4 linked regions of the Arabidopsis thaliana genome follow. The protein of the gene in region 2 interacts with the protein of the main gene of each other region in a pairwise test. Each region holds a gene or a part of one and is shown on either strand. Other genes may lie near its edges.

Region 1 (8,952 bases), on a different chromosome or scaffold from region 2:
ATGTGTATATATATATATATATATATGTAATTGTGTTTGTTTGTTTAGCACTTTTTTGATAAAGTAAAATGTATTATTACTTGGTAAGGTTTGTTTACTTCGTTTAGTTTCAAAAGACAGTAACCCTAAAATACAGTTCAATTTTTTTCCAAATATCATTTCTAGTGTAATTTATTTTCACTTATAATTACATTTTAATCATTCTTTTTCTTTCTCAAATTTAGAAATTATACATAGTTGCAAATTTAGCTAATTGAACATTTTATATAATAAGTTAGATGATATTACGAACGTAGAAAAATAAAAAATAAGTATTTAGTAGAGTTTCGTTTAAGCTTTCACCATTAGTGTATTTTCCCCATAAATGATTAGTTAACATCCTTCAAGTACAAATAAACATCTCTATTATTGAGTTGTCAATTTACCGAAGAAGAATTATTAATTTATTATATATATTTTTATTGATAGCACTAAATGTTTTTAATAAAATAATACTATATAAAATTTGAAAAGTCATATGTAAAATAAAATAAAATTTCTAAAATGTTTTGAGTACTACTATTCATATTTCATAACATTAACTCCAATTATTTGGTATTATATAATCAAACGATCTTATATCAATGTCCAGACTAATTTTCATAAACTTTATAAAAAAAAAGAAGAGGGTAGTCCACATTGGAAAAAATAATACTCCCTCTTTCAACTCTGATGAACCAATCAAACTGGAGTTACTGGACCACCATGAAGTAGTTGATCTAGACTCTAGAGTGTTGAAAAATGATATTTCTGCAAAGTGGAGTGTGAAAGAGAAAATGAAGGTCGGTGGAAGATCGATTGACATGTGGTGGACACACACACGATGTATATAATTGTGTGTAGTATGAAGAAAGTTTTGTGCCATTGCTTTGATATGAAAATAACATCTAAGGCTAGGCTGCTATGGAATTGTGAAGTATTAAAGACAAGTTTGTGCCCTTTCTAGTTTGTGAAAATAACATCCACGGATAGGCTTGTATAGAAACAAAATCTAAAAGGCGATGCTTAAAAGTAGAGCTTAAATTCTAAGGCTATGCTTGAATGGAGACAAATTCACAAAGGTGTTAGCCGGATTTTAACAATCTTTCATCCAACCGCCTTTATGTTCCGATCCATGCTTTTTATTTTGGGGTTTTAAGAAGTAAGTAAAGACAAGAAAAATATCCAAAGGCGTTTTCAAACATTTTGAAGATAACATTAAACACTATCCTTTGAAAAGCTTAACACTAGATGCGCGTACCCATTCTCATGCTTTAGGTTATGCTGCTAAACGCAAACGTAATCGTTGTTCTAGTTGCCCAAATCGTATCATTATTGCACAAACATATACGGTCATTTAAAGTACATAGCCATATTTATGCATGTTGAGTACATATTTATGTATGTGCAAGGTGCAAATGGTTTCATGACCAAATATCTTTAATCTTCTACTTAATCACTAGATACCGCGGGTTGATTATTTACGTTATAAATTATATTATTTTTTTAATTCTATATCATCTATATTTAAATAATCATATTATATTTTGAATTTATCATTTTACTTTTTATATCTATTTATTTTTGATATTATATTTGTATTTGTTTGGTTTGATCTTGTTTAATTAAGAAAAACTGTTTATTATACGCACATTATATAGAGAGTGTATTTTTATGGTACGTTATTATGTGTTTGTTATATAGTATTTTTTTGTTAAAAATGAACGTATTTGGCTTAAAATAGTTTTCTTAACTAATACTTATATACATGTTTTTTTTATGATGAGTTATTACGTGCGTTCTTAACTAATATAGATGATATTAAATTAAAAAAGTAATTTAATTTCAAATGGTTTTTACAATATAAAAAAAAAAATTCTAGAGTTCAAATATTATTAATATTATAAAAAATTTATAGATTCTAAATATTATAAATACCAACTTATTAAGAGGTACACTGCGGGTTGATTCTTTTCCATTTATTTTATAATTTATAAATTTATGATTTTGTAAACTATAAAGTATATGATATTTAATAAGATGTAGCTCTTATAGTATTATTCGGCATTTACTATATAGCTAAATATTTATATGAATAAGATGAATGTTATTAAGTTACTATCATAAAGTTCAAAACTAAGTAAGTTTAACTAAATTGTAAGATAACTTAAAGATCGTCCAAACAAAAAATATGGTATAGGATTTAACCCGTGGTGTAAAATAAAATGAAATTTGAAAACTAAATAAAATTATAAACTAAAATTAAAAAAAAGTTCTTTGGGAGAATCTAAAAATAAGAAAGTTCTTTGAGAGATTTGGATATAGAGGATCTTTTTTTTCAATTTCCCTTAATCATAAACTAAAATAAAATAAATTACAAAATTATAGTTTTTTTCTTCCTTTTTTTTGTGCCAAAACATCTAAATAGAAAAGATTCTTTACATCTAAACCCCAAAACCACTAATTAGAGAAACGTTAAAAAAAATTTCCTAAGCAAAAATAGAAAAAAAAAAAAAAAAAAGAAGAAGAAAGGTTTTGTTTCTCTTTCTCTCCGCCGATGGTTGCGCAAGCGGAATCTTCTCTCAGCATTCACCTCGGCGTTTCTCCTTTTTCAGCGTTCACGTCGGCTTAAAAAGTTGCAATACCTAAAAGTTCAAAGAAGAGGGCAACATCTCCATCTTTTCCCATATTGCATCTAGAATGATGGGAGAGAATCTAACGCTTAGGCATAAGGTAAACCTTTTCCAAAGAATTCAAGTAATCAACAGCTCTTTCTCTGTTCACCACAATAAAAGTATGTTCATCGATTTCAATTTTAGACAAACCCTTAAAATTAAAATGAAAATCAAAAGCCAAAATCAATAAACCAAAATAGAGGATAAAAACTCTGTCAATCAAAATGGAGATAAGAATTAAGAATACTCACTTTCCTCACCAAAGCTCAAGCTCATCTTCAGTAATCGCATCTCTAACAACACGCTTATCTCTCGATCAGTCTTAGCACCAGAAAGCATCGTCAAAGCTCCATTAGAAGTGATTAACGAACCTTTCTCATACTCAATAGCTTGCTCATAAAGCTATACAAACAACAAAATCACAAACTCAATCTATTAAATTCGTCACACAAGCACTGATAAATATTCTGTATAGCAAAACATTTCTAGAGCTATGCATAAGAAATACCTTGCTATATGAGAATTCGGAGGGATCATTTAGACTGAGGCAAATTGTGGTTGTGGTAATTGTTCGATATGAGATGGTTATTTATAGTGGATCATTTAGACGTTAGAATGTTCTAGATATTTTAATTTAGGTAATATTCTGATATTCAAATATCTTGAGAATATATGCTTGTTATTAGTTTACAAATCTAAACAAAAAACAATACCCAAGTGTTAATGTGGTTACCTTTTTTGTAGGGAAATTTTGCCAAAAGATATATTAACAATGATTGACGAAAATTAACGAAAAATTGAACTCAAAATTTGAAAAAATATAAATTAGTTATGGAAGATGCTAAAGATTACCATTTTTGTAGGAAAGAAATCGATCACATTTATGTTTTTAGATATGACATTAAAATATTATTACAGTTTTTTCTAGAATTCAAATAGGAAACCATTTGATTTGAAAATAGTTGTTTGTTATAACTACATATACGATTTATATATTTTCAAATCAAAAACTAAATATTGTTTAAATATTTTTAGGCGTAAAGCCAATTAAGAACGGAAATACAGATTTCTCTAGTATATTGTGTGTTTATTTGAGGTAACAGAAATTAGATTTTGTGTTGCAATTGATAAAAGAAGAATAAATTTTGGTAAGATATCATTAGCATTTAAAACTAAAATTATTTTCGAATCAAATAATTGTAGATATGGTTAGTTATGATTGATTTCCGGGTTTTGTTAATTAGGAAATTAGCATAATGAATTTCGTATAGTTTTAGGGATTGATTTGTGCAATTTATGAGGGTAGTAGTTAACAATATCCATGTTTAGGCAAGTAGTTAGTGCAATATCTTAATTGTTTATCAAAAATTTGGTTATTGTCCTAAAGAAAATATTTTGTCTGATTGATTTTGTAGGGACTAACCATACAATATCGAAATTGAAAAAGGATTTTTCGACACAAATCGTCCCCAAAAATGTATATGTAGATATATCAAAGAGTTATAATAATAACTTCAACAGGTAACGAAGAGAAGACATAACACCAAAGATTCTACACTTGACACGTCTTCGGAATACATAGATCAAACTCCAAAAGAATACATGTTAATGTTCATTAATCATTAGATGTATAATATCATATTATATGCATCACACAAAAAAACATTATAAATAGCACAAAAGAGTTTTTTTTTTTTTTTGAACTCTACCAAAAACTATAATTTATCAGCTAAGAACAAAGGTTATTCACTCCTAATCGACAAAATTAAAAAAAGATTCAATCAAGAAAAAAAAATACTAAAACCCTAAAAAAGATTTCATCACCATCAGAAATTTTCATTAAGATTATTACTTTTGCTAATACTATACCTCACCATCATAATCTTTCTTCATCATTTTCTCATAACTTAAAGAACCCATTGTAGTCTTTCCTTATGCATCATCCTCCATTAGGCATTGTCTTTAACTCATTCACCGTGGCTCTAATCTGTTCTTGAACCAATTCTAATCTCCTCGAATACACTTCCAGCTCAAGAATCTGTTGTCTCCTCCACCGTTCGTCCCCTACTCCCTTACCACCAAACCCTAAATTCATCGACGGCATTAGCATCGGACTCAACACACCGAGAGCATGAGCACCACCTCCAGGAAACCCACCCGTTGCAGCCATCATCATACCCGTCGTACTATTCATCATCTCCTTAATCATGGGCGATACACAATTCTTAACCGTCTCTTCAATCAACACTCCAAGATTCCTCCCATCACCAAAATCACAACCAACAGCCACATTCTCGTTAAGATTAACCGCATTCGGTATCACCCCGTCACACGGAGCAAGAACAGGCTTATCCTCGTCGATCTTCCCGATCCTAGACCGTGATCGTTTTCTACTTATCGTCACTTTCTTCTCTAAACCATTCTCCGAATCAACATCGACATTCGCATTACCGATAACAGAGACATTAAAACCCGAGCTACCATTCGCGTTATTTACATGATTAGTTTCTTCTAAATCCATCACATTATTATCTTCAAAACCAATAATTTTCCCAGTTTGATTCCAAATCTTCCTAGAGATATCAAAAGTAGCTTGATCATGAGGACTTTTAAAGAACACTTCTTTACCAGAACTAAACTTACTCATAACATTCCTATACTTCTTCTTCAACCTCCTTAGCTTCTCCACAAGCTGATTCTTATTAAACTCTAACTGTAGCTTAGATTTAATCTGTTCATAAAACGGCGCCGTATCAGGCGGATGAGAGCTGTTACCACGGTGGTTTGTGATGTAATCGAGAAAGCCACGGAGAAGCTCGATCTCGTCTTCGTCAGTCCATAGTCTCTGGAATAAACGTCGTGAATCATCAATCGGTGGTCTCTGATGAACGATTTCAGTCATACGGTGCCATTTCTGATCGGAATCTGATGGAATTGAAGCTACAGGTACGGCGGATCCAGCGGGAAGAGCGACGGTTACGGTTCCTGAGGATGATTTCGTCGCCGGAGCTCTGGAAATCATTGACGGAGAATTCAGATCTTCGTATTCTGGATCGGGATCGGGATCGTGATCGTCGTCTTCGGCTTCGTTTGGTTCGGGTATAACAACATCTTCGTCGGATTCAGTTTCTCCTCCTCCTCTTCCGCCACCGCCACCGCCGCCGTCTTCTTCTAGATCTGGTGATTCAGCGGAGAAATCAGTGTCACGTTGATCCGATGCCATGAGAAAAACGTAGCGAGAGAGAAATTTTTCTGGTAGATCGAATCAGATCCAGAAAGAAGGAATTGGGTTCACGAGGATTGATACGGGTTTGTTTTTTGGGTGGTGGTAGGGTATGGAGAATATTGGAGATGAGTAGGGGTAGTTTCGGGATTTTAAGAGTTGTAATTATGACTAAGGGTGTTGCGGTTGCAGGCAAGTGGTCCAGTGTTTGTTTCTTTTACCCGTGCTTTGTTTGGGTTGTTGCGGTTTTAGTTGAAGCGTGATCATGTGTTTAAAGTCAATGGTCTACCGCAACCGCGGCGAAACAGAAAAGCGTTCGACAAACTTGATTTTGTTATTCTGTGTACTGTTGCGTTTCTTCAACGTCCCATATTAACGGGTGTTGTGATTGGTGACTGTTGTTTATGACGGTTAAGAATGTTTTTAGAGATTATAGAAAAAGCGATTAGAGAAAATGCGATGACATAACAATGAAAAAAGGTGGTTACTTTAAATTGAAAAAAATTGTTATAAGGAAGGAATATAAGAGATTAGATAACATATAAAATTACTTTTACTATTAATAATCTCTTAATAGAACAATACAAATAAAGTTATATTGAAAAAACTAATACAGTATCAAAACAATTGGTAAACTCACAGATTTTTCATGTGGCTTACAATCGGCTTGTTTTAATTTTTAACCGCTCACTTCATTTGTTGTAACACCCAATGGCTATTTTTAGGTATGACTGGTTTAAACGCAGTGGATATTGTATGACTTGCGAGAGTTTGTAAAACGGACGGTTGTGATTTTAAACATTATGAAATATTTTTCAATGATATGGTTAGCTTTTGAAAATTGGTGCATTTACAGAAATTTTATGAATGATTAACCAGCCGGTTTGAACGAAATTAAACCAAATAAATATAATTAATAATTATAGAAAGTATAATTACACCAAATATTTTTTATTATAATAATAAAATGTAACATAATTTAAATATAATTAATAATTAAAATCATATATAACATTCTACATAATTATTCAAAATAAATAAATTTCATAGTTAAATGTTATTACTCCATGCATTTAGTTCATGAAAAAAATATCTTTATACTAATATAAGGAAAGTACCTTTAGAAAATTCACATTGCCTTTTCTAAAGTATTACTAACCAATGCCATTAGAAGTATAATTTCAAAGTCCAAATTAATTCACCTCATTAAGAATAAACAAGTCAAATTACATAAGATCTATTTGTTTTTCTCGCGGGTTAGAGATCTTATACATATGTTATGTTAGAACCATTACTTGACCAAAATCAAGAAACTCTTTACTTGATCAAAATCGCTGGTTACAAATCTTATATATACTGCTTTTTCAAGAAACTCGGCTCTCTAAATCCTTATTGCTTTGAAGTACGCTTTAACCAACTTCCTCATTATGCATTGAAATTTGGCTTGGTGTTGTGGTAAATCTGACTCTCAATCTATGAATTTCTATAGCTATGCTTTAAACTCGATTTTGAATCTCTATAGCTTTGAAGTGGTGGAAAAGAACCAAAAGTATGCTTTTCTTTTTATCGCTCTCTTGATTTTGTTTCAGGGTTTTTTATTATGTTACACATGCTTTATATATATATATATATATATGTTTGGTGTTAATGGCTTCTCATTCTTGACTATGCAAGTTAGTAAATTTCTCCTTATGTCGCTAAATTTTCTATTTCTCTAGGTTTAGATTTAGAATTATAGTTTTGGTGATGACTACTAAACAAATTTGGTGCTTCATAATAGGTAATTATCTCAGCTCTACGTCTTCTCGATGAGGTTTTGCACCAACAAATCGATAATTGTTGGACTATTGGGCTCTCTAACCAATTCACATGAGTAGGAAGAACTTTGGGATATATTGTTAATAATGAATCCTTATGAATCTAGTACCTATTCAATGGAGTTAACAAGGACCACTTTACTCCAAAAGGAGCCATAGATAACCTCCTTAGCGCGAAATCATTTTGGTTAATGAAAGGACTATTCTGGAGAGACTTTGTTCTCTACCTTACAAACTTGGTGTTGCAAATGAAGTTGTAGAGTTATATTAATGTATAGTTATTGCTTTTATTTGGAGTGTTTTAGAAATGAATTCATATTTGTTTTTTAATTTTGCTAACTAGATCAATGCATCAAGATTCAAAGTAGTTGATCTTATTGTTCATAGAGTAGAAGACTATGAAAATCTTACCAACTTTAACAAAGATTTATTTCGCTGTCTTAATCGAACGCATGTGGCTTTGTTGTTCCAGTCTTTTAGTCCTTTGGAAATATTGGAATAACGAAGAGTAGAAGATTACATTAAGATGGTTATGGATTTCTAATTTATATCTCACTTTGTTGAGATAAAAGGGTTACATTATACGCCCAAAAACCTTAAGTTGAAGTTCAAGCATGTAAATTTTGTTGATCAGATGCTGCACAATAGTTACGTTGAGGCCATAACATTGTAAAATGTTAGCTCACTAGGCAAGTAGTTGTTTTTTTCTCTTTTGGAATCTGATGGCTTCTTTTAATGGTTCTAAAAAATGGTGATTTTAACAAATGGATCTTATCATTTATCTTGCTGTATTTAACAAATTGATGCGGATTTGATTTTCTTATTTTCAATTACCTTTTAAATTTCTGATTTCTTGATAATTATTAATTGGTTAATATTAGTAAAAATGATGTTCCTTAAAAATTTGTTCTTTAATGTCTTTGATTAAATTGTAAATTAAAAATTGAATTAGATTTTTCTTTTTTCTTTTTTTTTTTGTTGTTCTAAGATTTTGTCAATGATTTTGTTAGAAAAAATAGTTTAACCATTGATTTAATTGTCTTGCTCTTTATTTTATACTAGATTTTAACCCGCGGTATACCGCGGAGACAATTTATTTTTTAAATTAGTATATATAAAAGTTTGCAAATTAAATCTATTTATTTTTATTTTATAGTTTACAATTGTTATTAAGTAACGTCCTGCCAAACCCGTCTCGCCAAATCCATCCCATAAAAAA
Region 2 (8,281 bases):
ACTTCCTTACCTTCAGCACATTGTGTCAGAGACTTTACGGCTTTATCCGGTGGCTCCAATGCTTTTACCCCACTTAGCATCAGAAGATTGTATAGTTGATGGCTATGACGTTCCACGCGGCACAATCATCTTGGTGAATGCATGGGCCATCCATAGAGATCCAAAGTTATGGGAAGAGCCAGAAAAATTTAAGCCGGAGAGGTTTGAGAAAAAAGGAGAGGATAAAAAGTTGATGCCATTTGGGATTGGACGACGATCTTGCCCTGGTTCAGGGCTAGCTCAACGGCTAGTGACTTTGGCTCTTGGATCATTGGTCCAATGTTTTGAGTGGGAGAGGGTTGAAGAAAAGTATCTAGACATGAGAGAAAGTGAAAAAGGAACCACAATGCGAAAAGCTACATCGTTGCAAGCTATGTGTAAAGCTCGTCCCATTGTCCATAAGGTTTTAGATGCTTCTTGTCCATAACTTTCATCATACAGAACCTCTTGTATAACAATTTCGATAGAAACACGATCTGTTTTGTTGCTTCTTAGCTATGGCCTTACCAGAGTACTCTATATTTTGAGGTAAAGACAGGCTCTTCTTTTCTAGGAAGTAACACAAGATCTTTAAGGTCAAAGAGAAAAATCTGGTTAACTCCAAACAACTAAAGGTCCAACGTTTACTACATGCCATAACTTAGTATTGTAGGTAAATGAGATACTAGTAGAGAATGTTGGAGAATCAAAGTTTAGTTACTATCGGAATCGTTTCCTGAGTCCACATTCATCGGCTGAGGGTTCTTGTAATCACTGATCTCATCCTTGTATCGCTGCTTGTCGACTTGAGCCTTGGCTTCATATGGCTCTTTATCATCAGCTATACATACACACGGTTGGGGAATTAAAACACATTCACATGATAAAGTAAAACCAAGTAATGTATTTACTTTTGAAAAGGATCTTCAAATTTTTTACCAGACATTTGACGCCACTTATCTCCAAGCACCTTTCCCACCTCTCCAAATGCTATTCCTGGGTGTTCCTTCTTTATGTTCTGTTCAGTTCACAAATGGAAAATGACATAATCAGGAATGTGCTAAGTTTGTCTGTTAATTGTTTGCTCTCATGTATGTAATAGACCGAGGATACTCCATTTCGCAACTTAGCCTACATCATAGAGGTAAAAGTAAAAGAAAGGAGAGAAGAACTCACATCTCTTTCCATTTGGGAAAAGAACATGAAACCAGACATTGCTCTTTTTGGTGCGTTGGGATCCTTCTTCTTCTTCGGCTTCTTCCTCTTACTACTGCCTTCGTCTGCGGCTACAGTTTTCCTCTTAGGAGGCAATCCTTTCGATGACGAAGCCTCTTTCTTAGGTTCCTTCTTGATAGATTTCTATAACAAGTCAATGACAGGAAGATATGAGAAACAAATACTGCTGCTGAAAGAGTTCGAATGAATGCGACAAAAGTTTACCTCTTTTATCTCTCCTACACCGCCTTCACTAGCATCAGAGTCGTCCCCGCCAGAATCATCAGTTGGTGAACCACCATCATCATCCTCACCCATAACAAAGTCTTCGTCCTTCATAAATTAAAAGTCTCGATTATCAAACACATGATCATTAGAATATGAAGTAATTCGGTCAGACATAAAGTACTTGCCTCCTCATCACTCTCATCAGCAGCTTGGTTTCTGATACGCGTAAGATGAGGGTCAACAGCATCATCATCATCATTATCCCCAAGAACAGCAGCAACACCGTCTGCGGTACCCGCACCTCCAAGGTTCATAATCTTCAAACCCTTAGAGCTGCAGCAAGAAAACATAAGGAATATTCACCACAAATCTTAAATGCACTCAGTAAATATAGACGGAGACAATGAAATAATCCGCGCTAACCTTATGAAGGTATAGAGATTGTGATACTCATTTCTTTGAATGTTACGGAACAGATGTTCATGGTCAGTTTTCAGTCTTATGAGAAGATCAAAGTAATGCATGTTAGCACCACCAGCAGCATGCCTTTCAAACTCGACATAGTCAATCTAAAAACGAAAAAAAAACAGGTTAGAAAACCCAACTCTATCTCAAAGCCTATAAAAAATCTCCAATCCTTAATAACCATAATTTACCTCATCGTGAAGTATAAGCGTTGGAGGTTTAGGTAAGAAGAAAAATCCCTTCTCGAGTGGATAAAGAACCCCATCTTCTGCCTTGAGAGACGATTTCACTGCAAACCCATCTTGGGAACTGCGGAACTTCCCAGGTTTAGTGATCTTTGCACCAGACAGCCAACGCAACACGGTGGTGAATACTTCATGAATGAGACCCTGAAAATTCATACAATTCAGCGTATGTATAAATTTTTTTATTCAGGAACAATAATGTAAGTGCAGACCAGACAGAAACCTTATATGATCGCTCCAGCTTGTCCTTGAACTTTGTATTCATAAGTTCATCACTAATTGACAGTTCACTTTCGACAACGGTGTCTGTTTCAAACTGGAGAAGATGCAAAAACAGTTATGTAAATCAGAGTAAAAAAACGAAAATTATACATAGAAAATTGAAATGGAAGGAAAAATGTAAGTAATGTTTACCTGCATAACAATGTGGGGGTACATTGTCTGACCTTTCCGGATTGGTGGGTCTAGAGAGATAACAACAAACGTGTGTGGTTGGTTTGACTGCTCAGGCATATAAAAAAAAATACGAACTCAATTAATGTGAACACGATTCAGTGATCATAATACGATAATCCCTTTAATCTGATGACTGCTAACATAGGTAACTGCCCTGAGATATGCTTAAAAAAGAATTACCTTTGGAAGCAAGAACAAACGGACAACGCTACTGTACTGGATTTTAAAGTCATTAGCTTGTCCTTGCAATCGTAAGAAAGAAAGGTGAAGTTCCACATTGTACCGACCCCTGTGATAGAAACAACCAAATCATTTAGTCATGACAAGATGAAGCCATACAATAGTGCAACAAATGTTTAAGTAATCAACTCTTTACCTGGGTGTGAGGATTGCAATACTCTCAAATGTGACGACCGCATCCTCAACTCCAGGACTAACATCAGCCATTGCAACGATTGTGTCATTGAAAACCTGAGACATTCTTTTAGCATCAACAGAAAAAAATATATACTTGAGGCACATACATATAATGAAAATAGTTTGGGAACTCACTTGAGAAGGTGGACGGTTTTCATCACCAACAAACTGAGTGTTGGAATTAGGAATATGAAAACTAATCTCCATCAGCGAGTCTTTCTGTAAACACGTAGAATATAAATCAGTAAATGTACATACATAACAGCCTAGAGATTACATATCAAAAGAAACCAGTACCTCATTAGCACCAGCAGTATCATCAACATGAAACTCCAAAGTAACATCATTTTTCCCTTGAAGCTGAGTCTGTGAAACATCAGCTAAAGATACTTCAAAAGCTTGTTTTGATCCAACCAAAAAGGTTAGTGTATTCCCTACACAAAGAAACAAAAAATTCTCCCTTTAGATCCACAAATGAAACTAGACAACCACAAGTAAAGCCTAAAAGCTATAAGAACTCTCACCGTGTAAATCCACCTCTCCCCAATTACGACCACTAACTGATAATTGCTTCTCATCCGGTGTTTTTCCATAAGAACTTTGGAAAAAGCTAGACAGACTTGGAACATCCTACAAAACAAAGGAATCAGAACAAGCACAAACATTACAATATCAAATCAAATAAAAAAGATATACACACACAAACCTGATCTCGAAATCCAACGAACTTGTAGTACAATCCATCTTTGGTTTTGACTCCCAATTGATTACTCTTTGTCACTTTCGTCCAACTAACACTTACAATATCAGATCTATCAACTTCCACAGCTTTTCCACCACCTTGTTTCTTCCATTGAATTCCTCCAGAATTGATTTTAAGTAAACCCGGGTTCTAAAAAACCAAAATTGAAACCCTAATTAGCCTTAAGAAAACCCTAAAAACTACCGCAGCTTTAACAATTGTAAACAAGAAAACAACACAACTGAAAAATGAAAGCGACAATCTTTTTTTTAACCCTAAATTTGACTCATTGAGTTCTTTAAGAATCGAGCGGCGGAAGCAAAAGGGGATACAGAGAAAGGAGATTAGGGTTTTCGAAGGAAGAGGAAAAGGTGAAAACTTTGAAGGAATTGAAAGATCTTGAGAGATAGAAGGAGACAGAGAGAGAAGATGGTACCTTTCCACCGCGACCGCTGAGAGAGATATTATTGAAGGAGTGGCCGTCCGCCATGGTTTTCTGTTGAGAGACACGAGAGAGACGAGAAAGCGAGAGCGAAAGAGAGAGAGTGATTTTTTTTTTTCCAAACTATGATATCAACTTTTATACATAGACACTCAGGCGGTTTAATTTTGGGAAGAAAACCAATTTTCGAAAATTAGATTTTCCGGTTTAATTGAATTTTTGAGTTTTTGGTTTTGCAGATTTGGGAAAAAGACCTTTATCAAAAAACGGTAAAAACAGAAGGTTGTTTTGAGTTTTGGATTTTTTCACATTTGGAAAAGAAACCTCTTATAAAACAGAATTTTATATCAATTATGTAGGCATGCGGGTTCGGTTTACCAAACCGGTTACTTCGGTTTTGTTTGGCTTTGGTTAGGAGGGGAAAACCGGTCTAAGGGTATGGAGAAGTGATTATTGAAGGAGACAATAGGAATGTGATGGAGCTATTCAAAATAAATAGACAACCAAACAGAGGATCCGAGCATTGTCTCTATTGTTCAACATTACCAAATGGAAACAAGCTCATAATAGTAGTACATGTTGTATTAACCTCAAAAACCAAACTATCAAAGTCTTTTTATCCAATGTAATGACTATAAATTACCCTGCATTGCTAGAATTCTTCAGAACTGTTTTCGTTTGTTCCTAAAGAGTCTATCTCTTTTCGAGAACACGTAACCAACAGCCATTAACCCGAATCCCGACACTGAAACAGTTCCCCATGGGAACGGTGGATCTTTGAAACAGTTGAGACTCGCTTCTACCCGTTGTGACGCGAGGTACACTACTGAATGCACTGAGTACAAGTCGTGTGAAGCTGATCTTAAGTAGAACAAAGCCATCTCGAACTCATTGTGTGATAGAGCAGAAACCGTTTTATCCAGCTTGTACTGCATAAGATTCCACCTTTGCATGAACTCAGAGTGGCGATTCTGTTTCCGTAGGATCACATCTCCTCCATATGCAACCGCGGAATCGATAACATCGATTGCACTTGTGATAGTTGTGTTCAAAGATGTCAAAATCACGTTTCTCTTAGCAGCATCTTTCTGAACAAACGATAGAGACGAGATATCAGAGAATGGTCCAAACGGTGTTTGCCCAATGCTCCATGTATAATCAACTAGAGTTGTGTTATGTCTCGGGCTCCATGTCAAATGAGTAGAAGATACACCCCACATACTCTGCAGAATGGAACCAACGAGAGGTCGTTCTAAGTCTCTCGTATGAACAAACACATGACGCCCGTTGCAAGTATAATCACTAACCGTTTGAGTTCCTCTAGTTCTAACAGCAATCACCATATCTCTAAAAGCAACAGACTGATGATACCGATCAAGCAACAAAGGCGTATTGATATCCAAATCAAACACATAAACAGGTAAAACCCTAGCAAACTCATTTCCTTCTTCTTCAACAATCCCCGCAACTCTCCTCAACTCCTCAGCCGAATCAGTCAACGCCCGATGCATATGCTTAGAATCCAAATACTCACTCACAATCAAAGTATAGTTATCAAACAAAAACCTAGAAGTATACGAATTCATCCCACGAGATACCGCAAACGAACAAATCGAACATTCTCTATAATTCACACTATAACTCTTAAAACTCAACTTCTGTTCACCTAACAACAACCCACCACTCTCAGCTTCATCCATAAACGTTCTCTTCACAAACTCCAAATCTAACCCACTCGAATCCTTAACCTCTGACCCATACACATGAATAAACTGAACCACCAACGTATCCTCAAAGTACACAGGGATTCTCAAAGAAGGAACAATCAAAACCTGATAAGCATTATACACCAACGAAGCCAAATCCGCAAGTAAAGCTTTTTCTGATTTAGGACGACCATGTAAAGCAGCTAAAGGATGAAACTCACCTCTTGGTAAAACACCATCACCAGATAAAGCAGGACCATAATCTACAGGACCAGCAGAGAGATCAATCCATAGATAACGATCTTTACCAGTCCAAATACTACCTAAACATTTCGTAAACCCAGCTGATGAATCACCATGAGAGTAACTATAAGCATAAGGTTTAGCTTGTGAGCCTAAAGAGATCAAGTAAATGTAAACACCACCATCTCCATGCTTCTCTTTCTCATACTCTTGCTTTATAATCTCATCGATTGGATTGTACTGGATCGAAAGGAGATTAGATCTGAGAGATGAAGTTGTTGATGAAATTAGGGTTTTCAAAGTTGAATCGAGTCTGGTGGAGAGAGATTGGGGAGATAGAGAAGCGTCAAGGTGGAGAGAGTGAGAGATAACGAGTTTGTGATTTGTTGATGAATCTGGAGATGGAGAGATTACATGGAAGTTGTCGTTAGTTACGGCGGCGGAGATGAATTCGGAGAGAGTGGAGGCGGCGGAGGAAGGGAAAGAGTCTCCGATGAAACGGACGTTGAGTGGGATTGAGATTGAGAGAGAGAGGAGAGATTTGGAGAGTGATGAGAAGTGGATTGATGAAGAAGAGAGAGATCGTTTGAGAGAGGAGGAGAGTGATGTGAATGAGTCGTTTGATGATTTTGGGTCGAGACGATATTGGTTTGTTAGGAAGGTGTCTAGGCCTGGGATTGGTGGAGAAGAAGAGGAAGTGGTGGTGATGAGTAGGAGGAGGAGGAAGATGGAGGCGGATCCGCCATTGAAGTAGGTGGTGATGCGGTGGTGCGTCATGTGAGAGTGGAGGTTAGAGGAGGAAGACGAAGACGAAGATTTGTTTGGGCTTTCGAGGGCTAAAAATGTCAAATTGGGGTTAGATTTAAGTGGATTTTTCACATTGGGGTTAAATTTAGGGGTTTCACTCCAACAAAAAACTATCATTTAAAATTTGGGTAATGATAACGTGAACGCGGTTGAAGTTATGAATTATCGACCGAGGTTTTGAATGGATGTTGCGGTTAATACTAATCAATCCGCGATTCAGTCTACTTTATTTTAGGGGTAGACAATAAATCAATACAGATTTAATTTATCTCAATCAGTATTCTAAAAAGCGATTTTGGTGGTTGTTTAGGCCTCGACTAGGGGCTAGGCTCTCATGCGACGCCTAGATGACCGTTTCGACCGCTTAAGATTAATTATGCTTCCAATATATGTTTCCAATATTTAATTATTCAAATTTACTTTTTTTAAGTTTTGTCTTCATATACATGGTTTTAAATGTTCAAATATTGTTTAGTATGAATTATATGTACGTTTTATCACATTTTTGTTTATAAATTTAATATTTATATTTTTTTAATCCATATTTTGAATGATGTTTATCTATAATAACATATTTATAATGTTTTATGTTATAAACATCTTAACCGCCTAAAATTGTCTAGACTCCGATTAGGTGTTTTAGGCGGTAGACATTGGATCACCTCCCGAATAGCGTCTGACGTTTTCTTGAACACTGATTTCAATATAAAAAACGGTGTGCAATTGGTCCACAACGTCTTTTTCTGTTTTTTTTATCTATACTATTAGGAACTATAGTTTATGAATGGTAAATAAAAAGCGGGTCCAGTCCATACACGGTTTTGTCTGCTCGAACCGTTGTAACGATTCGGACTCTAAGAAATAGTAGGAAAGCTCTCTTTCTCTAATATTTTTGAGAGAGAGGGGCTCTTATCTTTATTTGCGGTTAACATGTCTTTTCCGTTGTTATATTCTTGCCGTCAACATAGTTTTTTTGTTGTCATGTTTTTGCCATTAACATGGTTGTTCTGTTGTCGTTTTTAGTCGTTCCAATGAAGTTGGGTTTTTCGTCCCGATTAAGTCGGGCTTTTTGTTTGACATCACAATTTTTATAACATTGCAAAAATGATTTTTCCAATGAAAGTAAGATTAAATGCATGATGTAGTAATTTTTTTTATATATATCTATTTAGAAAATGTTATAAAAGAATATAAAATTTAAAATTTAAAATCCGTTTCTAAAAACAATGTATGTCAAAGAGTTTTATTTATTATTAAGTTTTTACTAAAGAAAAAATAAAAGATTATTAAACTCAAT
Region 3 (8,187 bases), about 10 Mb from region 2:
ATTAGACTATTACTGAAAAAGACGTGACCGGAGGAAAAAAAAAAAAAAAAAGAGTAACGCAGTTCCTTGCTCTTCTTTGACACGTCTCTGGTTGTTTCCATCAGCTGACGAAAGAAACGAAACTCAATGAAGAAGGCTAAACAAAAACAAAAAAAAATATAGTATTTTAAAGAAAGTCATCGAAAACAACCTTCATTCAATTTGAAAACATCCTCTCTCTCAAAAGTCTCTCCTGCTCTGTTTCTCTCTTGATGTAAGAGAAAGCACCATACCCCAGGTTTTATATTTAGAAACAAAAACCTCTTTCTTTCTTCTGCGATAGTCAGAAGAACATCAAAAGTCGATTAGAAGCATCTAAAAAATCAAAACTTTGCTTGTGGGGTTTCTTCTTTTGTTCGATAGAAAATGGTTCAATACAAAAGACTAATTAAAAAAGGAGAAAAGCATAGACTTTCGGTAGAAGAAGGTGGTTCCGGTGCCTCCGCCGTCACTGTCTCCGGCGGTGTGTACTCAAAGACAGCCAAACAGAAGCTTCTCTTAACTATCTTTCTCTCTTTGCTCTCATGCTGTTACATCTTCAGCTTCTCCTCTTTCTCTCTTCTAGGTAATATCACCTTACTCATAATCTCTTTCATTAATTTTTTTCTAGATTTTTCTCATAACTTCGATTGTTAATTTTCTTGTACAGGTGCTTTTAGCAGAGAAAGTAAAGGATTTGGTCCTTATGAACTGTTCATTGCACCTCTTTGTTCAGGAACCTCTAATGGTATTTTATCTTTTCAAATCTCTTCTTTTTAAATTTGAACAAGCTCTGTTTAATGATGTATCTCAATCACAGGAACAATTTGTTGTGACAGAACCGGTTCTAGATCCGACGTTTGTATCATGAAAGGAGACGTTAGGACACACTCTGCTTCGTCATCAGTCTTCCTCTTCACTTCCCTCAAAAACAAGACCAAGATCACGAAAAAGATCAAACCTTACACAAGAAAATGGGAAACAAGTGTGATGCAAACAGTTCAAGAACTCAATCTCGTTTACAGAGATGAAGAAAACAATTCTTTAGTCGTCTCCTCTGTTAATGACATCTGCGATGTGTTCTATAACGTTCCTGCTGTGTTTTTCTCAACTGGTGGATATACAGGAAATGTTTACCACGAATTCAACGATGGAATCATCCCTTTGTTCATCACTTCACATCATTTCAACAAGAAGGTTGTGTTTGTGATTGTTGAGTATCATAGTTGGTGGATTATGAAATATGGAGATATCGTTTCTCAGCTATCAGATTATCCTCCTGTCGACTTTAACGGCGACAAGAGAACACATTGTTTCAAGGAAGCTATTGTGGGATTGAAGATTCACGACGAGTTAACCGTTGAATCATCGTTGATGCTTGGGAATAAAACAATTCTTGATTTCAGAAATGTGCTGGATCAGGCTTATTGGCCACGTATCCATGGATTGATTCAAGAGGAAGAACTCAAGGCAGCTAACAAGACAGAAGACGGTTTCAAGAAACCAATATTGGTGATTCTGTCTAGAAATGGATCGAGGGAGATACTAAATGAGAGTCTTTTGGTTGAATTAGCTGAGGAAATTGGATTCATCGTCCATGTTTTGAGACCGGATAAAACAACAGAGCTGGCAAAAATCTACAGATGTTTGAATTCTAGTGATGTGATGATTGGTGTTCACGGAGCTGCAATGACACATTTACTTTTCTTGAAACCGAAAACAGTCTTTATACAGATTATACCAATAGGAACCGAATGGGCTGCTGAGACTTACTATGGTAAACCAGCTAAGAAGATGAGATTGAAGTACATTGGTTACAAGATTAAACCGAAAGAGAGCTCTTTGTACGATGAATATGGCATCGATGATCCCATTATCCGAGATCCTAAGAGTTTTACTCAAAAAGGATGGGATTACACTAAGAAGATTTATCTTGAGCGCCAAAACGTGAAGCTTGATTTGAAAAGATTTAGGAAACCGTTGTCTCGTGCTTATGATTTCTCGATGAAGCGAATTGGACTGGTGTATATCAGTCACAAACCGGATGTTACCAATTAAACCGGGGTTTGAGATTGTATAATATAATTTTGGAGATGTAAACATTTTGTACAGAGAATGCATAGACTTTCTTTTGTGTCGTACCTAATGACACAAATTTACAAGCTTTTGTTCTGTATAGAAATCACTAACCGGAGAATACCAACTAAACTGAGTTTTTTTCACACTTTTTCCACTGAGTTCATACCACATTCAACTGGGTCTAAGGGCCCAAATATTATTTGCTTTATAGGCCCAAAGTCCCAAACATGCTAATCTTTCATGATACCTCCTCCATACGTCTTTTTTACAATTTTGTGTGTTTTACAAAAAAAAATTTTGCTTAGTAATCTATTTGTTAAGATTTTTTCCGTTTCTATTTGATAAGAATATATTCGATATATTTTCAATTTATACTGTATAGAGTAGCTTGTTATAATTATCATCAAATTTCATTGTTTTTTTCATAAACAAATATGATTAAAATTGATCTAGAAGTCTGCACGAAGAAAAGTAAAATGGAAACAAATTGCAGATTTGCATGTAATTACGACAAGTGGCTCATTCTCTTTTTTAGCATGTTACAGAAGTGTCTGGTTAATGGGAAAAAAAAATATTGAACTTTCTTTTATTTTGTATATAAACCAACCTTATGTGAGTAATATCCCAAAGAGGTTTCTTTTAAAATATCTTTGGGTTTTTAATTCATTTATGGGAATTTCTATAACAAAATTTCACCACAAATAAATGTTGTTCCTTTCGTAGAAGAAAACAAAATCTTAAGAAATCACGTTATTTTCGTATTTGATGGTAGTTTATAAATTTCGAAAGATGATTCAACGCGATTCATACGAGATATTATTTTTTTGACAACAACAAAAGATAGTAAAGTGTTAAAAAAAAATGTGTAAAGTTTTATGGAGTATAATTTAAAGATTTATCTTGAATTGAGAATGTGTAAATCACATTGGTTAAAGTGGAACTAAATATTTTTTTAGTAAATTATTTGTTTTTCTCTAGCTTAGTTTTAATTTCAATTTTGGAAAAGGGAGAATATTGACCAAAAACAAAAAGAGCACGATTAAATGACCTAACACTACATTTAGAAACACGCATCTGAATTATTTACATTGCAAAACAAAAGTGTTGAGCTGTATAGCATGTATTTATATTTACTTAAATACTTTCCATATCTATAAAAAGATATTTGCTCACCAAAATTTCACAACCGAACTAATTTTATTTATTATTACTAATGTTTAGATAATTCCACAAATACAGTGTAATTCTCAAAATATAATTTCGGTTACAATAGAAAGTCTTCTCTAGAAAGAGATATTTTTCTTTTACTAAAAATACAACAAACTCAGTTTGGAGGGGAAAGTAATCTTCCTTGTGAGATTTTACTATCTATAGAAACGTTAAAGCCACACCTTTTGCTTTTCTTATCATATTCTTCTTCAAATACGGCCACGTTTGGCCATTCTACTAGATCTCAACCCAAAAAAAAGAAACAAAATCTCAACCAACAAGAAAACAAAGCTAAAGAGAAAAAAAAGAACACAGTAGTTGTTATTTCATAAATCTTTTAAAGATATGAAAATATCAGTTATTAAATAAAACAGTATCCAAAACAACTAAAAATAAAGACTATAATAAAATGAAATAGTTGATCAAATATTTCCTTATTATAGGGATCAACTTTATTTGACTATATAAAAAGTAACATTTCTGTAAAGCAATAAAACAATAAAATTATGGAAGATTAAGTTTTAGAAACGTAATAAAAAGCATGATGACCTAAAAGCAAAGCCAAAAAAGAAAAACCCTAGAAGATAAAAAAAAAGGGAGGCGATACACGAAATAGAGAAGAGATCCAAAACCAAAACAAGGGCGTTATAAATGGGAAGAAAGTTCCAAAAGAAGAAAACAGCCACTCACACCAAGCAAAGCAAATTAGCAAAGCCACCAAATATGGAAAATTGCTACTTATAGTAACTCCCATCTTTTTATATAATACCCTAATTTTGGTCCTAATTTTCCTTCCTTAGCCCCTTTCCCAATATTTGATCAATTTCTAAAGAAAACCCCTTCCTCTACTAGTCCTCCTCCTATATATACAAAATCTTAAGAAATCTCTCTACTTGTTTCCTCTGTTATCATAATCTCTTCTCTCTATATCTCTTCTCTTCTTCTTTTACCCTGTTTTTTTTTTCATTCCACAGAGCCCAGGTTGATTGATTTTGTTATTCAGAGATATGGGGAGAGGAAGGATTGAGATTAAGAAGATTGAGAATATCAACAGTCGTCAAGTCACTTTCTCTAAGAGACGAAACGGTTTGATCAAGAAGGCTAAAGAGCTTTCGATTCTCTGTGACGCCGAGGTTGCTCTTATCATCTTCTCCAGCACCGGCAAGATTTACGATTTCTCCAGCGTCTGGTATATTAGTTATCATCTCATGATTTTGCTTCTTTTTTTTTGCTTTGGGGAAATAAAAAGTTTTGCATTTTTATGGGTTTTTGTGTCTAAAGTAAATGAAAACAGAGCAACCCCTGTTTATCTATATCCTAATCTGGCTAAATCTTTAGGTTGATGATGAAATAATTTTGATGGGTTATGATTTTAAGGTTTGGAGAATTGAGATTACGATTTTTGCTATCGGATTAGTTTGTGTGTTTTATAAACCCTAACTGTTGATGAAACTACAATTTGGTCACTATCTTTGGTATCAGAATTTGGGAGATGCATTTGTCTATGTATATATCAGTTGTTAGAATCTCAACTCCAGAATTCTGAAAGATCGTTAATTTCTAAGATTATTAGACCATAGAAGTGTTTATCTTATCTTTATGAAGAAATTTGAGAATGCAGAAGTTTAGATTCATGATTTTTTCCTGTAATGATCAATCAAACCAATTACGGGGTTTTACTAACGGAGAGTTTTGTTCAATTTGTGAAGTATGGAGCAAATTCTTTCTAGATATGGATACACTACTGCGTCCACTGAGCATAAACAACAAAGAGAACACCAACTTCTAATTTGTGCTTCACATGGAAATGAAGCTGTGGTAAGCAGAGACTCTCTACCAAGAATTTATTTTTGTATCCCTTTGTCTGTGTTCAAGTTTTTGGTTTACCTTACATGGTATTCGTTGTTGTAGTTGCGAAATGATGATTCTATGAAGGGGGAACTTGAAAGATTACAGCTTGCAATTGAGTATGTATCTCACTGGAAAAAGAACTTGCGTTTGTTCTTGGTTAAAGTTTCGGCCTTTCATCGGTTTTTTCTACTTGTTCGTGAACAGGAGACTTAAGGGTAAGGAGCTTGAAGGTATGAGTTTCCCGGATCTTATTTCTCTTGAAAACCAGTTGAACGAGAGCTTGCATAGTGTCAAGGATCAAAAGGTGAAGACAAAATACTAATTTATTCAAACATCGAGAGATGATTTTTGATTCATCCCTGTCTTGAAAAGTTTTGTTTTGATTCAGACACAAATCCTGCTCAACCAGATTGAGAGATCCAGGATACAGGTACGAACAGAGCTCCTCAAATGTCAGAATCATTGTTATTATCAATTCGTATACAATGTTGAATCTCAACACTCTTGTTTTGTTTCCTTGTCATTAATAGGAGAAAAAAGCATTGGAAGAAAACCAAATCTTGCGCAAACAGGTAAAGATTCATCAAAACCCTTATATTAGCTCGGTCTGGTCTTCACCAGTCATAACTGAGTTCAATTCTAATTTGCCCTCAGGTTGAGATGTTGGGGAGAGGTTCAGGACCAAAAGTGTTGAATGAAAGGCCTCAAGATTCTAGCCCAGAAGCCGATCCCGAGAGCTCTTCATCAGAAGAGGATGAGAATGACAACGAGGAGCACCATTCCGACACTTCCTTGCAGTTGGGGTAAACTGCAAAACAAAGCCCTAACTTCTGTTACAAGCTTTTATTGTTACTGAGCATTCTACAAACTTGTTGGTTTGATCTTTCTTAGGTTGTCGTCGACGGGGTATTGCACAAAGAGAAAGAAGCCGAAGATCGAACTGGTCTGCGATAACTCTGGGAGTCAAGTGGCTTCTGATTGATGGAATCGATTATTTTTCTAATTCTGGTTGTTTAGGGGTCTCTATGTGTCTTCTTGTTTCTGGCTGTTCTTTTGCTTTATTTCATCTCAAGTAGAGTTTTCTTAATGTTTAGGTGGAACATTTTTCCATAATCAAGAAGGGATTTGATCAATCAATAACATTAGATTTTCTTAGTTAAAGACTTAAAGTTGCCCACACACCACACCATATGTGATTATGATGAATTTACATTTTATAAACAGGTTTTCAGTGATTTCAAGAAACATAAGCGTGCATTCATTTTTTTTTTGCTTTAACTAGAACCCAAATCTTCAATAGTTTTCATGAATCGACTTTGAAAATACATAAATCCACAACATTAATATGATTAAGCATTCTTGAAATCCTAAGTTAGGTGAACAGAGAGTTAAGAGTAAATGCTCCTAGACATGGTTTAGTCGATTGCAGATAATTCGGGTCAGCAAAGAAATGTGATCACTAAGCAAATCTGGGTTGCGTAAACTCGTTGACAATAAACGGAAGCGTCTTACCCCTTTTTTCCGGCCCACTTCTTTACTTGGGCCAAATAATTTTATTTTGGGCTTTTTTTAAAAGGATGATCTTAATTGTGTGTGGGCATTTAAGGGCACCGACAATTCAAAGGTAGCCGACGGCTTACAGAAATATGGCTGCTCAGATCATCAGAGACCCCATACAATAAATATTTATGTTTCGAGAAATAAATCACCAGATGGTTGACAAGTTGCGGCAGTAAGTACATGTTACTTTTCTTGTCAGAAAGTACAACAACAGTACTTTTTTTATAGTCGACACTAAAATTAAGACTCGTATTTAGTAATGCAGAAAAATCTTTACAAAAATATACTATATACTCCTGAGAAAAAGCAGCTGATTTGACTGAAATAAAGAAAATGTTAGTAGTCTAGTAATGATTTGTGAACTACAAACGTTGTTTAAGGCGTTTACAGTAATATTAACATTACGGAATACAAAAGGGTGATGACTAGTCGACAAATAAAAATGGTAATGAGTCTAAATGACGAAATAATTAAAGAAATGTGTGAAAGGAAGAGAATAATAAGCACAAGTCCCGGACCTGAAAACGGAAAGATCAGAAGAGCCACGTGTGCAGGAGCTTGAAGAGAAGGTTCCAAATGAGAAAGAGATCCACCACCGTCATCAACACACACACACACACTTTGTTTGTTCTCACGGAGTCCCCAACAAAAGTCAAATCACCGTTCATTGAGCCCCACTTTTATTTACTTACATGTTTAATAGACCCGTTTGTATTACGAGACACTTCTAGTCGCATGTCTCCACCGTCCGATCACGGATCCTAGCTGTAATCAAGGGGGCAGATTTAATGAAGTGGGCCTCTTAGTAACTGCCTTCTCCACGTATCCTGACAATTTATTGTTTTCTTGTTAGTATTTTGCCATTTTTGGTTTATTATAGGATGATTAATGATCTTATAACTCTTCCATAAACTAATTTAGATAGATACGCATTGCATAGTTTGTTTTTAGGTCGATGAAAGCTAATTTATACTATACCTTTGCTTTGTTTGGTTTTGTGTGTCAGCGTTACATTAACTTGTCTTTGTTTTTTCACATTGTTAACAATAAACTCCAAAATCCAACCATAGCATTTTCGAGGTTATATATACTTGTAATATTCATTAAATTTCAGAAATTACTCATAAACTATTAAGAGGATGTTGCTTATAATTCAACCCCCATTTCAGTAGTACTCAACATTCAACTGCATTCAACTGAATCTTTTGGCTTCAATTACTATTTCCATTACAATTGTCCAAATGTAAAACGATTTTTACACAAAAATCAGGAAAATGATATTCCATAATGATAAACCATGATATTGGTAACCAATAAAGACTAGTACATGTAATCGAGCTTCATAAATCAGAATACGTAATGAAACTTAACCAGTCAATGTAATTTTTTTCATACAGGAAAAGTAGACTGAGAACGGTCAAACTTTGTTTTCTAAAAAAGAAAATTAGGCACATCCTTGAACCACGTTTG
Region 4 (6,723 bases), on a different chromosome or scaffold from region 2:
AAGTATGAACTCAGTCCTGATGACAAAAGAACGCCAAAGCAATGATGAGATACAAGCAGCGCGGCAAAAAATGATTGCGGTACAGATTTCTAATGCTTTAGTGTTCTTGGGTACTGATAGAGTTGCATTTTTGCCATTATCTAGTATTTTAGAATACTCAAAAGATTGCTCTTTGATCCAGGGTTTGACAGGATTGTTGGGTGCCGAGAGCGATATCGGAGTAAAAAGGATGGGAGAACTTGATGAGAAACCTTTCCTGGATGTTTGCAAGCTGAGATATTCTGCAAATGAAGCTAGGGTTGAAGCTGCCACCCTTTGCTCTACATGGAAGGAGAACCTTAAGAATCCATCATGGCAACCATTCAAGCGTGAAGGAACCGGGGACGGAGCAGAGGTAGGTTCATTCCTTTTACAAGTCTTTTATATGACTTTGAAAAGTATCTGGTCTTTCTCCCTCTCTGGGCCACTGTTTTAGTTAAATATGGAGTAACCTGTGATTTCTGTGAACGTTGATACTTGTATACATATGTTGGTACAACTGTTTTTGTTTTTGTGAGTTAGCGGTAATGGTGTTAGATGTTAATGGTTACAGGAAGTGGTAGACGAGGATGATGAGCAGCTGAAGAAGCTTAAAAGAGAGTGGGGAAAAGAGGTGCATAACGCAGTAAAAGCAGCTCTTGTGGAGATGAATGAGTATAATGCAAGTGGTCGGTACCCGACTTCAGAACTGTGGAACTTCAAAGAAGGAAGAAAAGCCACTCTCAAGGAAGTGATTACGTTCATTTCAACCGACATAAAAAATCTGAAACGCAAAAGAACCTGAAGGTATGCTAAATCTTCTTCAGTTGACACAGGTCTCCTTATATAGCTTATATAGTAATGTGCTGGTCCAAAACTACGTACACTACATAATCCGAGAAACGTGTAAAAGGTTTAGGGTAGAAACTCGTCAAGAAAATACTGCAGAGGCATGATCTCTTTTGTTGACTTCAGTTAAAGAACTTGTCAATTATGATCTGGTCTGGCTTTGGTCTTGCGCCATTTTGATTTGAACTGAAGAATCCAATGGTCTTCTACTTTTGGTTGCAGGATTGGAGAAGCAGGAAGAAGAAGAAGAATATTAAATGGTTAAGCTTTTTGTCTAATAAAATTATTAGGATGCTCGTATGCTCTCTATGGAGACTAATTTCTTAAACCTTTTGATTTGAAAGAATTCGAATCTGTAATTATTGTAATCTTGGTTTATGCTTTTTGTTTTAAGTTCTTGTTAAAAGCCACCTAAAATGATGATCAAACAAGTTTGTGTTAAGATTATTTTGGCATGTAACATAGTCAATAATCTTTTTATTAAGGTTTCTTCTTGGCTTATTTTGGACGAGTTAGGCAGTATCTTAATAGTAGTAACAAAGCTTTAGTTTTTGTAGTTCATAAGTCAAAAGCTTTGAACAAAACAGTGTTATCTTCTATACCAGACACAAAAACTGTGTTGTTTATATAGTTAAATCATCCTGAAGCAATGTGACTAAATTTTTTGTAACCAAGCTATATTTGCATTGCTATGGTCTTGTTTTGTGACCAACAGACTTGGATGCAAAGTAGGTATAACTTGCTAAATGTCTGATTTTGGAAATAACTTATGAAGAGAAAATCTTCATTTGGTAAGAGTTGTTTTCTCAATGTAACAGTTTACTCATCATTTTCAAACTCCAACTCTCACAGAACACAATCAAGTTACAAAGTGCAGATGCTTATGGTTGGGAAGCTTTACCTAACAATGGTACAAGGCGGTTTTGTCAGGAACATAGATTCGTTCTTGGAGTTGGTACAAGAACTTCTAAAAGACAAAGATGAGGTATAATAAGGACAAGTTGACGAATAAAAAAATAAATATTATAACGTAGAGAATCTTTCAACCCCAAAAAAACAAACCAGAAAGAATCAAATCCTAAATCCGAAAAACAAAAGAAAGCATTATGCATAGCATTACGATACAAAAAACCGACAAATCTAAGTAACTAGTAGCTCTAGTTCTTCGAAGCATCAACGAAGTAAGACGTAAGGTCAGTCAAACGCACACTCTTATCCAACATAGCCTCAAGCTCTTTAGCTTGCATCAACTGAAACTTCTCTTCAACAATCTTCTTAGTCTCAAGAGTAAACGAACTCCATTTCTGCCTCACATAATACTCATCAATACCCGAACCAGCAATCATCCTAGCAAGAGACGACTTCTCAAACCAATCATCTCCATTAGTTGAAGAAACACCAACAAACGCCAAGTCTTGCTTTACAGAATCAAGCTTCTCCTTCGTCTTACTCGCACTCTTTTTCGACACACCGTTGGACTTAGCATTAGAATCAAGAGCTATTCCTTTAGGTCCCCAAATAAACTTTGACAATTCAAAAGCTTTCTTATCATGAGCTTTCACAAACCTAGGTTCGTCCTTTCCTTCTTTAGCACGGTACTTCTTCCTTAAACTCCTAACCTTATCCGAGAATTGACTCTTACTAACCTCAAAGCTGATAGATTTCTTCTGGAACTCGTAAAACGCATTAGTATCTGCGGAAGGAGACTTCCCTGTATCAGCATGATAATCTATCATTCCTTGTAACATAGAGATTTCGTCATCGTCACTCCATAGTCTTTGAAAAAGTGCTGGCTTCTTTACACTCTCTTCATCTTTCTTGACTCGTTTCGTTGAAGTCGTCGCAGCTTCACTCGCTGCCCTCTTTGCTCCAGATTTCACCGCCGGTAAAGCTAAAGTAGCAGTCGACGACGACGGATCATCTTTCTTCTTTGAAGCGATTGTTTTACCGGATCCAGATTTCGGAGGATCCGTCGATTCAGAATCCGAATCTGTTTCACTCTCCGAACCAGAATCGGAATCAGCAGCGGCGGAGACGGCGGTGGATTTAGAAGGAGCAGCGGCGGAGACGGAGGTGGATTTAGCTGGAGTAGCGGCGGAGACGGCGGTGGATTTAGCAGGAGCAGCGGCGGTTGTGGCGGGAAGGGATTTGATTGGTTCGTCTTCTTCAGATGAAGAGGAATCATCTTCGGAAGTCTCGACGTCATCTTCGTCGCTTGAAGGTGCCGTTGGTGGATCGAGTTTCTTCGTCATCGGAAGTTTCAAAAGAGCAAATCGGAATTTTCGAGAGAAAGAGAAGATGAGAAGCTTCTTAGGGTTTGTGAGGAAGATGAGAAGCTTCTTAGGGTTTGTGACGAAACGATGATAAGTGAAAAGGAATATTTATAATCAATTTCGATATTCTCAAACAATAATTGCGAAATTTGCTTTCCTTATTCAAATCGTTTCATATTTCCAATGTAGCAGTTCCCGTTAAAATTCCATTGTTCTATGAGTTAAACAATTAATATTGTCATTAAATTAAGATTCTAAATCTCAAAGAATATTATTTGTTAAGTTTTATAATCTTATTATATAAAAATTTTTGATTTGTCTAATGTTAGAAATTGTAATGAAAGAGTAATTTAGGTTTAGGTCATGACATTAATGACTAATCATAATAAGTACAATTTCACATTTTTGCTTATTATATACAAATCTTTGATTTGCCTAATGTTCCCATGGATCTCATTCTCATACAAATCATAATAAGATCTCATTCTCATGGATCTCATTCTCATTAACAAATATTTGGTGAAGGAGTTTAATATTATGTATAATTAAAGCCCACTAAAAACTAATATAGAAATTGTAATGAAAGAATAATTTAGGTTTAGATCATGACATTAATGACAAATCATAATAAGTATAATTTCACATTTTTGCTTCACATATTTTCGCACTGTAATGATTTTTTTGCTTTCATTTCATTTTTCTGTTAATTGTATATATACAGAAATATCTATATACAGAAATATATTCATTTCTTACTGCCAATGTTTATAAAATCATCCCAAAAAATACAGGAATATGAGTTTCTTTTTAATGAATTGGCACCAATAATATAATACATCAAATCCCAAGTTTTCGTCTGTTACTTAAATGATGATAATGTAGACATTTTTACATTGGAACTCAAAATTCATGATCTCTTGTCCGCCAACACTCTCATGATGATAATGTAGACATTTCTACGTTGGAACTCAAAATTCATGATCTCTCGTCTGCTACACTCTCATATTGATATCACCATTTTTCAATTCGGTAAAACGAATCTAATTTCTCTAAAAATAAAAGAAATTATGACAGTGTAATAAAAAGTTTTTTTGTTTTTTTGTCAAGAGATTTTTTATAAAAGCGTATAGTTAACAATGATCTTATTTAGTTTGTTAAAAATTTAATTATTTTTTTCAAAAAATTGCTACTTTTGCAACAAAAAAAAACCATAATTAATCATTCACAATTCCACCGAAACATAGTTTTATTCAAACATATATACGTCGTATGTATTTACATTTGCATGATCCAAAATTTACTTCCTCCAATAAAATTTTGCACTTTAAATAGAAAGTCTCTATACACATCCGTATAGAAACGGGATCACAAAATAGTTTTTAAGGATATAGTTACCCGTTCGACATTAAGAACAAAATAGAATAAACATAACAATAACGTACCATAATGATGACAAGAGCTCAAGCAATTACACACATGAAAATTCGTATATGATCCAACCTTACTTGCAATAAGTCAATGCCAAGTTATAACAAGAATAAGATATTCACTTCTTGGTGTTGTTGATAGACTCCACCTTGCCGTCATTACCTCCAAGCAAAAGATATTTATCCTTGCGAGTAAGTTCGGTGCATTCGAAGCCCAAAACCGCGCCGATAACTTTCTGGACGTAATTAGCCACCTCTATAGGAGTCTTGCCACCACCGTTGACAGTCATTTCTTCAGGCAAACGATCCAAGAAAGTGGCTTCATAGCTTGGTCTTGGGTTCATGAAGAAGAAGTAAGGGTCCCAAAACTTCACACCCCTAACTGTGGTCCCGTTGAACATTCCTTGTTTACAGTTCATCGCTACTGGCACAATCCGGTCGCTTAGCTCTGCGAATAGAGCGCTAAATCTCAGTAGATACTCTTCTCTACACGTCGTGCCTTCCGGACATATCACCAAGTCGCCTGTTATACACCAAAAACATATCATTAGCTCAACAACTCCATTGATTTTTAATTTCTCAACTAAAGATTAATGTGAATGTAAGTCAATATTCAAAAGAAGTAAACAATATTATTTTATGTTCATTTATATAAATTTGGTTAGAAGATGCGTTAATTAGGTACCAAAGTAAACATCAAAGACCATACCAAAGTAATATTTACTATATTGAGATTTGCATGGGCTACTATATATGTATTCATCGAAAAATAAAAAGAAAGAAATAGAAACTCCTATTGAACCCCCTGGACAGTGAAACTTGTTATAGGTATGCTCTAGTAATATATGATGAGAAGATGTGTAAAGTACCTTTCTCGAGAAGTTTTCTCATGTTGGCAGCATCGGTGGCACGGTCACGGGTGAGGGCAACAGCAGGAATAGGAGAAAGCATAAGGGAGAGACGAGAGACACTGTAAGTGACGCAACAGATCTTACGTCCAAGAGCAATAGCAACGATGATGGGATCAAGCGCGGTACGGTGGTTAAGGACATAGAGGTTGCCAAGAGTTCCAGGGGAAGGAGGTGGAGGACGATGACCACGAATGGTTAAGTGGATCCCGAGCATCTCGTAAGTGTAACGGACAAATCTTTCAGGTAAAGGGAGGTTGAAGTAGACGCGAATGATGGAGAGGATGAAACCAAAAGGAAGCCATAGGTATGTGATAATGGCGTTTAACGGAGTTGGACGTTGCGCTAAACGCCCATCATGGAAGACTATGCGGTTCTTTAAGCGTTCTTTTGGAATCGTTGTGGCTGACTTGGTCGCATGAACCATGTAACCTTTCTGTTATAATACCAAAAACGTTATTCATTTCAAACTTATAACTAAAAGTACTAGGAAAATGTAACATATCTCTAAATTGTGTAATCAAGATTCAAAAAACTAAGCATTAAACAACAGAAGATTGTTTATGATATTTCAAGTATGTGTTCATTAAATGGACAGCCCAAAATGTTGGTGGAACTAGTAAGGTGGTTGGGGATAGAAAAATAATCCAGAGGGTCACGTGAAGTGATTGGTTGGATACATTTATGAACCTTACTAATTGCTTCCAAATCAAAAATTTCATTATTTTTATAAGATTCACGCGTAGACATAATGACACTAAACCAGTCAACAAGTTAAATTAGATTATCTAGCTTAATCAACAAGCAAATCAAACGTTTGCTTAGATTCTCAAGTTACCTCCAAAACACATCTTACACTAAACCAATCAACACTCAATAATTCAACTTAACTTTACCCTATAATCGACCAAGATTGGATAAAAAGATTGGAACAGTACCTTGCAGAGAGACATGAAATCATGATCAGAGGTTCGATCACCGAGGCCGAGATCAGGTGATTCGTTACCAAACTCTTTTAAAATGGCTAACCTCTTAAGATCACCAACAAGAACACCAGGCTTCTTCACAAATCCAGTGGCTCTATTGGTTTTAGGGTTAACTTCAATCTCTGTTCCCAAAACTTTATCACCTCCAAGATAATCCTTCACAAACGCCTCCACCATCACAATCGGATTCGCCGTCACTACCACTTTTCTCTTACACTTATCAAACACCTCAAAACTGTCTTTCCTCACATCCGCCGCGTAA

Evidence for each region.
Region 1: the proteins of HMG (region 2) and AT5G28040 interact in binary tests that used the Arabidopsis thaliana proteins (3 or more experiments, as listed by UniProt).
Region 3: the proteins of HMG (region 2) and AGL18 interact in binary tests that used the Arabidopsis thaliana proteins (3 or more experiments, as listed by UniProt).
Region 4: the proteins of HMG (region 2) and AT4G00390 interact in binary tests that used the Arabidopsis thaliana proteins (3 or more experiments, as listed by UniProt).

The regions. Positions count from the first base shown.
Region 1 is NC_003076.8:10,033,022-10,041,973, forward strand, and holds AT5G28040 (DNA-binding storekeeper protein-related transcriptional regulator), read right to left. Parts: upstream 5,981-8,952; 5' UTR 5,917-5,980; coding exon 4,633-5,916; 3' UTR 4,563-4,632; exon of another isoform or gene 4,016-4,562; intron 3,096-4,015; 3' UTR 2,522-3,095; downstream 1-2,521.
Region 2 is NC_003074.8:10,780,949-10,789,229, reverse strand, and holds HMG (high mobility group), read right to left. Parts: upstream 4,343-8,281; 5' UTR 4,277-4,342; coding exon 4,223-4,276; intron 3,937-4,222; coding exon 3,751-3,936; intron 3,675-3,750; coding exon 3,569-3,674; intron 3,479-3,568; coding exon 3,342-3,478; intron 3,264-3,341; coding exon 3,180-3,263; intron 3,099-3,179; coding exon 3,004-3,098; intron 2,917-3,003; coding exon 2,808-2,916; intron 2,673-2,807; coding exon 2,586-2,672; intron 2,488-2,585; coding exon 2,395-2,487; intron 2,316-2,394; coding exon 2,118-2,315; intron 2,031-2,117; coding exon 1,885-2,030; intron 1,795-1,884; coding exon 1,647-1,794; intron 1,567-1,646; coding exon 1,459-1,566; intron 1,378-1,458; coding exon 1,195-1,377; intron 1,037-1,194; coding exon 958-1,036; intron 860-957; coding exon 732-859; 3' UTR 501-731; downstream 1-500. Other genes in the region: CYP81D11 (Cytochrome P450 superfamily protein), read left to right, coding at 1-466; AT3G28720 (uncharacterized protein), read right to left, coding at 4,891-7,101. UniProt on the Arabidopsis thaliana protein: Component of the FACT complex, a general chromatin factor that acts to reorganize nucleosomes. The FACT complex is involved in multiple processes that require DNA as a template such as mRNA elongation, DNA replication and DNA repair.
Region 3 is NC_003074.8:21,229,597-21,237,783, forward strand, and holds AGL18 (AGAMOUS-like 18), read left to right. Parts: upstream 1-3,875; 5' UTR 3,876-4,313; coding exon 4,314-4,495; exon of another isoform or gene 4,496-5,015; coding exon 5,016-5,124; intron 5,125-5,217; coding exon 5,218-5,273; intron 5,274-5,361; coding exon 5,362-5,461; intron 5,462-5,545; coding exon 5,546-5,587; intron 5,588-5,687; coding exon 5,688-5,729; intron 5,730-5,811; coding exon 5,812-5,960; coding exon of another isoform or gene 5,961-5,964; exon of another isoform or gene 5,965-6,048; coding exon 6,049-6,139; 3' UTR 6,140-6,382; downstream 6,383-8,187. Other genes in the region: AT3G57380 (Glycosyltransferase family 61 protein), read left to right, coding at 406-604, 689-766, 839-2,076. UniProt on the Arabidopsis thaliana protein: Probable transcription factor involved in the negative regulation of flowering, probably through the photoperiodic pathway. Prevents premature flowering. Downstream regulator of a subset of the MIKC* MADS-controlled genes required during pollen maturation.
Region 4 is NC_003075.7:169,626-176,348, forward strand, and holds AT4G00390 (DNA-binding storekeeper protein-related transcriptional regulator), read right to left. Parts: upstream 3,221-6,723; 5' UTR 3,120-3,220; coding exon 2,025-3,119; 3' UTR 1,862-2,024; downstream 1-1,861. Other genes in the region: FDM2 (XH/XS domain-containing protein), read left to right, coding at 1-79, 182-394, 593-823; GPAT8 (glycerol-3-phosphate acyltransferase 8), read right to left, coding at 4,687-5,090, 5,437-5,911, 6,414-6,723.